2 linked regions of the Drosophila melanogaster genome follow. The protein of the gene in region 2 purifies or fractionates together with the protein of the main gene of each other region. This does not show direct contact. Each region holds a gene or a part of one and is shown on either strand. Other genes may lie near its edges.

Region 1 (4,496 bases), about 12 Mb from region 2:
AACCAAGGTTAGCTAAAATTGCAATTAGAATTGATTTCCGTTTTTCATAATTTTATTTAAAAATAGCCAATCATTTGTTCACCGGAATTCATAAATAAATAAGGTAAAAATAAATAAAGAGAATAAATTAAGTTGTTGCAATTGAGATATTCAAATTTAGTCACGTAATAATGAATAATCGTGCGCATTTTAAATGTTTATACATTGTGCCCCATTGTACATTTTGATAAATGTATTTTCGCATAAATATATTCTAAAAAATATTTCCTTTATAGAATTTCTGTGCCTTTCCCTATGCAATTCACTCTCAAAATCACTCTCATCACTTCAGCGGAAGTCCATTTATCAATAAACTATTATCAGCGCTTAATTCTTTTGGTCCTTCACCGACTTTCGTGTGGATTATATATCTGAAAGCATTTTTAGCATGAACATCTAGTGAATCCAACTTGCTGCTCTCAGCATCTTGCACTTTTGGAATGGGAAGGCCTCGCAAGTAGGTGCCACCATCCGCTAAATCATTGGGGAACACCTTTTGGATAGCGCTCAAGAGATGCGGAACGTGCTCCGCCAGGACATAGAGGCATGCATTTGGACCAGCATCGAAGGTGTACGCGGCATGATAGCTACCCATTCGTTCGTTATAATCGTGAACGAAGGACACGATACTGTGCGACACATCGTTCATGTAGACACACGGCGGATAGGTGTCCAGGGCGATGGCATGGAACTGATTCGAGTCCTTCATCGTTATCTCGGCGAATGCCTGAAAGTCATGGCTTGCGATGGCCTCCCTCAATCGGATAATCCGGTCGGGAACCACTTGATCCACGCGATGTTTGATCAACTGAGACGTCTTCACCGCCTGTTGCATGCCCCTTGTCGAGGCAGTCTTCTTGCGTGCATCGTTAACGACCAGGATGAGCACATGCATGTTGGGCCAGTGGTCGGATGGAGCTATTTGCCTCGCCACCGAATCGCTGCCATCATCCAGAGCTCCGCGATGCCACTGCACAAAACCGCCATACAGACTGCGACATGCCGATCCACTTCCTTGCCGCGCCACCGTCGTCAGCTCCTCATTCAGCGGTATATCGTAGAGTCGGGACAGGGAGTACACCAGGCAGGCGTAGCCAGCTGCACTGGATGCCAGTCCGGCGGCGGTGGGGAAATTGTTTACCGATGCGATGTGCAGCTTCCAGGTTGGCGGAACCTTCTGGGAGCCACTCGCCACAGCCAATCGATGAACTGCAAGTGCATTTTTTACATTAAAGTTCTATACTTTTATATATATAACTATAAACTCGCCTTCATTCAAACAGCGCTGCAGGCGGGAACTCTCTTCAAAAGGCACCTCCTCCCCATTCAGCCACATGCGATTCGTTTCAAAGGATTCCGATGCAGTCACTGTTGTCTTGGCGCAGAGCTTGGGAGATGGGATCAAGAAAGGTAATTGTTCAAGATTTTAAAAGTCTCGATAGATTGCTATTTCAAAAAATAAGTTAGAAATTACAGGATTTCGAACAACCCATATTCAAAAACCCATTTTTTTTAAGTTAGTAATTTCATTTTAATCTTAAGCAAATTCAGTGTCCACACAAATCGAAAGAGAGAGAATCGGTGAAAAGTGAAAATCCGTGAGATCTTCCCAAATTAAATAGAAAGTTTTCGTAATATTTACATTTGTGAGAAAATGAAAACTTCGACTACGCGCACTTTAAACTTAAACCATTATTAAAAGCGTCTAAGGTTTTTTAATTTTTTAATTACAATTTGTTGGTTTTAAAACGCAAATAAATATTTAAATATCTTTCATATTTACCTCATCGGTGCTCAGAGTCATGCTAATGGAATCATTGACGGGCAGAATTAGCTCTTCGTGCCGCTTTCCCCCTTTAAAGGAATGCATGTGCATAAGTTTATGTGCTTATAATATATGTATTAATTTACCCACAATATTTGATGAGCGCTATGTTTACGGGCGCCACACAAGTAACCGAAAACATGTTTGAAAATGTTTTTAATTCAGAAATTCACTTGTTTTCAGCTGCTTTCCAGCGAAAGCGACAACTGTTGACTGCGGTGTGACCACCCAGTGGACTCTTCAAATATACCATGTGGCCCCAAAAAATGTAGTTGTGGGTATTCCCCAATTACCGCCCATATTGAGGTTTGAGTCACGGCTAAATCGCTATTTCCATTTATTTTTAAACCAATGAAAGTTTGTAGTGAGTAAACATTAGTGTTAATAAAAATAGAAAATACATTAGCGTTAAGCATAGAGCTGTGTTTGGTTTTTGTATTTATTAGAATTGTATTTTAAATGTGAATACTTGCAGCCGCAACCATTCCGATTTCATGTGTTTCCAAATTATTTACGTGTTTAGTTTTCTTTTGGTTGTGTGTGGCTTTGAGAGACGCGGGTTGAGTAGCATGCGGTGCATTAACTTGGTTAAATTGAATGGGTCGGATGAAATGATGGGGACTAGCCCTTGAGGCTCGTCATGCCCGCACGCATCACCTCGTCGACGAGAAGCAGGTTGCTGGCAATGATCGAACAGGAGTTGAGGATCTGCTTCTTAACGATGTAGTTGTCGTAGACGCCCAGATCCACGGGCTTCATGGGCTCCCCGGTGGCCAGATCCAGGCCGACCAGTTCGGGACTCAGGCGATCCTCAACAGTCAGCTTGACGATTGTGTCCTGGGCATCGTAGCCGCTGTTCACGGCCAGCGTCTTGGGAATGACCAGCAGGGCATCGGCAAAGGCCTGCACTGCCAGGCGGGACTTGCCCTTGATGGTGTCCTTGAAGGCGACCAGCTCGTTGTACGCGCGCACCTCGAATGCTCCAGCTCCGGGCACCAGAGCCTTATCGGCAATGGTGTTGTTGATGGCACGCAGACCGTCCCTGATGGCGTCCTTGATCTGGGTGATCGTGTGCTTGTTGGGACCCTTGATCAGGATCGTGACGGACAGCGGGTTCTTGCAGTCCTCAACGAAAGTGTACTTGTTCTCGCCCAGAACATGCTCGTACACCACACCGGCGTATCCCAAGTGCTCCTCCTGCAGATCGTCAAAGGAGTTCATTGCAGTGCCACCGCAGGCCAAAGACAGACGCTCCATGTTGCGGCGCTTGGCGCGACGCAAGGCCAGGATGCCCTCCTTGGCCAGGGCGTCCAGCGAGATGGGGTCGATGCCCTTCTGGTTGATCAGGACGAAGGTTTTGTCGGTGCCATCGCACACGGAGCGCTTCAATTCGATCACCTTCTTCACACGCTGGTCGATGAATTCGCGCTCGGCGCGCACAAAGGCCTCACGCTCCTCGGCGGTCTTGTAGAAGAAGCCAGAGTTGACCTCGGCCTTCTCGTACTCCAGCGAGACATTGGCCGTAAGGATGTAGGCATTCTCCAAACGCTTCGGCATGTCCGGGTGGCGAGCACCATGGTCCATGACTAGTCCACGCACCAGCTGTGTATCGGTATCGGATTTGTGCTGCATCTCCATCAGCTCCACCATGTGGAGGTCCACGGGCTTGGTCTTATCGGCACTGGCAATGGTCAGCACGGCATTCACGCAGACGTCCGTAAGCAGATCGGCAAGGGCGGGATGCACCTTGGTCTTCAGACTTGTGTTGGCCACCTCCACCAGGTTCTTCTTGTTGATCTCCACGGGCACCTTGACCTGGTCGAGCACCTCCAATGCCTTGTCGCGTGCCTTCTCGAATCCATCGGTCATGATGCGAGGATGCAGTCCCTCGGACAGATAGATATCGGCCTGCTTCAGGAGCTCGCCAATAAGCATCACAGTGGTGGTGGTTCCATCGCCGGTGGAATCATCCTGGGCCGTGCTGGCCCTGGCAATCATAGAGGCAGTCGGATGTTGGATCTGCATTTCGTGCAGCAGGACATTGCCATCCTTGGTGATCTTGATGTCGCCGGCGCCAGAAACCAACCTGCGAAGTTTCTAGAATTAGTATGCTTGTTTCACTTTTCACGGCGCGTGAGTCAAGTCACGCCTCTTTCGATGCCACTTTCTGAATCACCCGGTGCTGGATATGCAGGTAAACACACATTTATGAATAAATTAAAGCCTCTGGGGGCATCTTTCATTTAAGATTCTTTTTGAAATTAAATAAAAACACCTAAATTCTAAGCTTTTTGCTCCAGAGTTGCAACATTCTCTTTCTTTCTTTTGCGATGACGCATGCCGCTAGTTCCAGTCTAACCTCAAACTTGCAGTTGCCGCAGCTGTGACCAAAACGTTTGTTTTTTCGCCTATAAACTAGCATTCTCACTCAAATTGCTAATGGAACGCAAAGTGAGGGATATTAGAGGCCGGTTTTAGTAACTTACATCTTAACGGTGCCCTTGGGTCCCAAATTGGTGCGCATCACATCCTGCAGTCCCTTGGCGGCACTGATATTGATGGCCAGAGCCTGGGCGGCGCGGGCAAACTCGGCCTTGGGGTTCAGCAAGCTAATCGAAGCCATCGCGTGTCG
Region 2 (4,496 bases):
GGCCTGGTCAGGGACTACACAGAGGTGGCAGTGGGTGTTGTGCGAGAATCCTACACGAAGCCGAAAAAGGCGCTTCTCTATGGAACGGGAATGCTGTTCATGTACCAAGCCAATCTGAAGAATCCCGGCGAGGAGGCCTTTATGACTCTGCTAAGGGGTGCCACAAATCGAATGATCACAGTGCCGGTAGAACTTCAGAATCCCGTGTCCGCCGACTATCTGCTAACCTTGGAGAGGGCGATCAATCAAAAGAAACTGCGTCTCCTTTCTCTCGGCATCTGCACGATCCTTTGGGTGGATCTATACGACGAGGACGACTGCACCTATCCGGCCATCTGTGAATATACCAACGTGGGCGTCTTCAACTTCCACGAACGGATCATCGATGTGGGATTTTGGAATCAATACTGGCGACTCAAATGGAAGATGCGCAACTATGATGTCAACTACCTGTGATCCCACACCACAAAGCTTAACGCTTTCGTTATCCTTAAGACCGTGTTTGCTGCTTAAGTCAATCGAGGGAGAATATACCAATATATGTATGTTTTTAGTACATGAACATGTGTTTACTTCTTTCTCATCGGATTACGATATGGCTAACTATTTGTTATAAAACTAGGCAATATTTATTTTATGAATTTTCGTAGCGCATACAAATATTGTATATTCGAACACTACAAAAATACTTCATTCCTCTGCCTCCAGTTGAGCTCCATTTGCAGGAGCGGCTTCGATGATCCTCTTTGGTTTAAACTCCGCCTCCAGCAGCTCTTGGCATTCCTGCAGTCTAGCCAAGTTGTTGATTTTTCCCTGGAAATTGTCCTCTTTGCCGTTTCCCTTGCCCTCGAGAATTTCCATAAATTGGGGACCGAGTTTCCCGACAATTTCTGGATCTCCGCGCAGCACCAGATGTCCTTTGGCACTGCTGCCAGCAAAAACGCTCTCGGAAACAGTGAGAAAGTAGAAGATTCCTTCCGGAGCCGCCCGCAAGAATGTGTTGATGAAGTCCACCTCGATGCCATCGCGTCGATGGAGAGAGAAATATTTCGGACGATCCTTTTTGGGCAAATCGCAGAGACGCTCGGCTTCGGCGGTGGCGTAACGTTTAAGCAGCTGCTGGAAGTACTTTCGACTGCCCTTCACATTTTGCTGTAGCTTCTGGACAAGCTCCAAGTGCTGACCGGGTCCACCTCTGTGAAATGCAGATGATTATTTACAGACAATTGGCCCACATCCTTGAGAGTCTCACTTTAAAGCCTGTGTTAGCTGCTGTTCGCGCTGAAAGACCTCGCCAAGCTTTACGAGCACCCTCTCGCCGACGACAAAGTGCACCAGAACATTCGCCTTCACCTTCTCGGCGTAGAGCAGCTTAATGCACTGCAGTTGAGAGAGATTCGTGACGTGGGTGCCGCAGCACATGTTGCTCTCAATGCCCTCGATTCGCACCACCCTGGCCAGACCCTCGTGATCCTTGGGCAATCCCCTGGGAGCTCTGGCATCCTGGAACTCTTGCGCCACCTCGGGATCCACCAGAAGCACCGTAACTTCACGGCCCTCGCGAATCAGATCGTTGGCCTGACGTTCGATGAGGTCCAATGACTCGCGACTTATCAAATGAGGCGTACTTAATTGAATGTAAGAGACAGTGGATCCCAGGGACCACGAGGTGGTATCGTACTTGAACTCCCTGTCGAACAGGGCGGTGATCAGGTGCTGTCCTGAGTGCTGTTGCATGTGATCCAGTCTTCTTTGGTAGTCTAGTGTCAGAAGGACTTCGGCATCCTGCTCGAAACTCGTTGGGGATTCCACAAAATGTACAGCCGTAGAGCCTTTTCTCTGGACATTCTTAACTGGAAATCCGCCTAAGGTTCCGTAATCGCAGGGCTGACCACCGCCCTCGGGAAATAGTATCGTGTCCTCGCAGATCACATTGAAGCCCTTGAGTTTCTCCACCTTTCCACTGGGATCTGTCCAATCCAAGGTGGCAAACTCGCTGCTAACGATTTTTGTCTTGAACTGCCGCAAATTATATCACAAATTATGTAATTTGGTACTTTGCGCTTCATTTGAGGGCTCACCTCCTTCAGGAAACTGTCCTCCTGGCACTTGAACACCATCGTTTCTATGAATCCACGCAATTCCCCGTTCACGTATCGAAATCATAAACAATTTATGAGAGGGTATGTCGGCAAGTGTTCATTAGGACGGCTAGTTCACCGCTAGTTCATTTCAGAGATGAACACAAATTCGCATTGAGGCAGTCACAGTATGGCTTTCATTATATTAATTTCATTGTGGCAATTAAATCATTTTACTGACACACACATTTCCCAATTAAAAGTTTGTATGGTTTGTGGTTTTGAATATTTTTTCCATTAGTTTTTGTCACTATGTGAATTGCAATCACTGCTAACACGAAGTTCAACATCGATAACACTTTCTGATGACCAGTTCATTTTTTGAAAAATCACTAACGCTTTTTTTTCTAACGGCACTTGAATTGAATGTTGCAATTGGCGTAATCAATCAAATGAATAATTCGATATATCTTAAAATTGAGTTACTTGATTTTGGGCCTTAGAGATGGTAAAATACAAAATAGCTGATTTCGTCGAAAATGTGAATTTTTTTTCGCATTATGTTTCTCCCTCTTTTGTTTACCATCTTCCCTCTCTTTTGGATTCGCGTGCCGCGTGCCGCGTCTGCGCTACTCTTTTCTTTTTGCTTCCTTGCTCTCCCGCTGTCGCCTCCCCCGTTAACCGCTATCCTTTTCGTCCTGCCATTCGGCTATTACGTCCTTTTGCTGCTCAACAGTTTCCTGCCAACGTCCCGTTACGACACAGCGTTACGTTATCCCAATCAGAATCACGGGATAGCGAAAGGAGCGACGGAATCGTCCTTTAAATAGGTTTTAATGCAACCACCTGCAACTGTTAATCCAAGGATAATCGAACAATAGCCCTCGCGCCCATCGCTCCCCTTTGTTGGACTCCCTTCCTTACCTTGCTGTTTGTTTAAGTGCGACTTCAATTTTTCGCGAGTGTTTGCTTCGGTTATATAAGTGAGATTTCAGTGAGCAAATAAAAAAGCCAGTCTAAACGAATATAAATCGTCTTTCAGAAGGCCACATACAAAAGTAATGCTCTCTGCACGTCGAAGTTTCCCAAAATCAGTAACCCAAATAGCATGCTCATATAGAGTAATAATTGTAGGTCTCCATGGCAGCGTTGTAAAGTTATTTTCCCGTACATCCATCGCCCTGGGAAACACAGCCTACACTAATTGCAGGGCCAAAAAGAAAGTGAATTCCATTAAGCTGCATTAGTAAGTGGGCGGAAAGTGTTCAGTGGGCGGTGGGTTTGTTGGGCAGGACTCATTTTGATTGATTTATTGTGTGGACCTAGACACGCAAACCACGCACATGTCCTGCTGTGGTGTGGGTTTTTCCTTTTGCATGATTTGATTGATGGAAAGCACACGGTCAAAAAAAAAACCAGCTATTTAAAATTGTTTATAAGCGGCAATAGACATATGTTCAAATATCCGTATCTAAATTCAGAGAACTGTTGTTCTCTTTATTGATTATGTTTAAGAAATCAATTAAATAGCACATTTTCGTTATAAACGGTTGTCAACAATCATTTCAGCGATTAAGTAATTAAAAATTCTAAATTTGTTTTTGAAATAGATTTTATATATATTACTTTTCAAAATATATATATATATATATTTTTTTTTAACTGAATTCATTTTCCATTCCCATTTTCCTCTGTGCATGCATGCTAAGTACAGTTATTAGTAATACGTATTCCACTAGAAAAAGCAGCCAGCGGCACTGCGATGGCGTCTACTACTAATGCACCGTTATCACCTGCAATTAAGCACTAACAAAAGCACCACCAAGCCATAGAAAAGAAAAGAAAAAAACAATAAGCTAAAAGTTAACTGAACGCGCAGCAAGGGGATAATAATAATGCGCGATTTATACATCCAACCAAAAAAGTATGCTACGAAAAATGTCCAATGAGTTGCTAGTTACACCAACGCAACACTAGGTGGCGCCGAGGAAAGTGAAATCAAAGGACAATTCGAGAAGCGGAAGCACGGACTTAGAGCACTTTTAGGCACCCACACACATACCCGCACCCAACAGCACCCACTCGTACATCTAAAAATACCCTGTAATAAATTGAAATAATAATAAAACACAATCATGGCCAACACAGCTCAGCTATTGCGACGCCAAAGCTCCCGGGATATAATCCTCAAAAGCCAGAAGAGCATCGATCAGCTGGAATTGCGGGTAAGTCCACAGGACAGGAAGCGTAAAAATGAAGTTAATAACAAAATAACCTATTAATAAAATGTATTCACTTTGGGTATTTCGACTAATCTTTTCGGCGAGATTACTGAAATCAGTTAAATTTTCTAGGAACTCCGAGGTCGCCTGGTGTCAAAGGAGCATGGCGTCAGCCACCATCACCACACATCAT

Evidence for each region.
Region 1: the proteins of CG10802 (region 2) and Mvd purify together in Drosophila melanogaster (affinity purification with mass spectrometry, with the first as the bait; one large-scale study listed by BioGRID). This does not show direct contact.

The regions. Positions count from the first base shown.
Region 1 is NC_004354.4:15,746,762-15,751,257, reverse strand, and holds the start of Mvd (mevalonate diphosphate decarboxylase), read right to left. Parts: upstream 2,093-4,496; 5' UTR 2,007-2,092; coding exon 1,955-2,006; intron 1,894-1,954; coding exon 1,823-1,893; intron 1,427-1,822; coding exon 1,309-1,426; intron 1,249-1,308; coding exon 323-1,248; 3' UTR 1-322. Other genes in the region: CCT6 (chaperonin containing TCP1 subunit 6), read right to left, coding at 2,486-3,950, 4,351-4,487.
Region 2 is NC_004354.4:3,480,669-3,485,164, reverse strand, and holds CG10802 (uncharacterized protein), read right to left. Parts: upstream 2,201-4,496; 5' UTR 2,121-2,200; coding exon 2,082-2,120; intron 2,020-2,081; coding exon 1,253-2,019; intron 1,196-1,252; coding exon 691-1,195; 3' UTR 610-690; downstream 1-609. Other genes in the region: CG14270 (uncharacterized protein), read left to right, coding at 1-456; CG10804 (uncharacterized protein), read left to right, coding at 4,217-4,306, 4,436-4,496.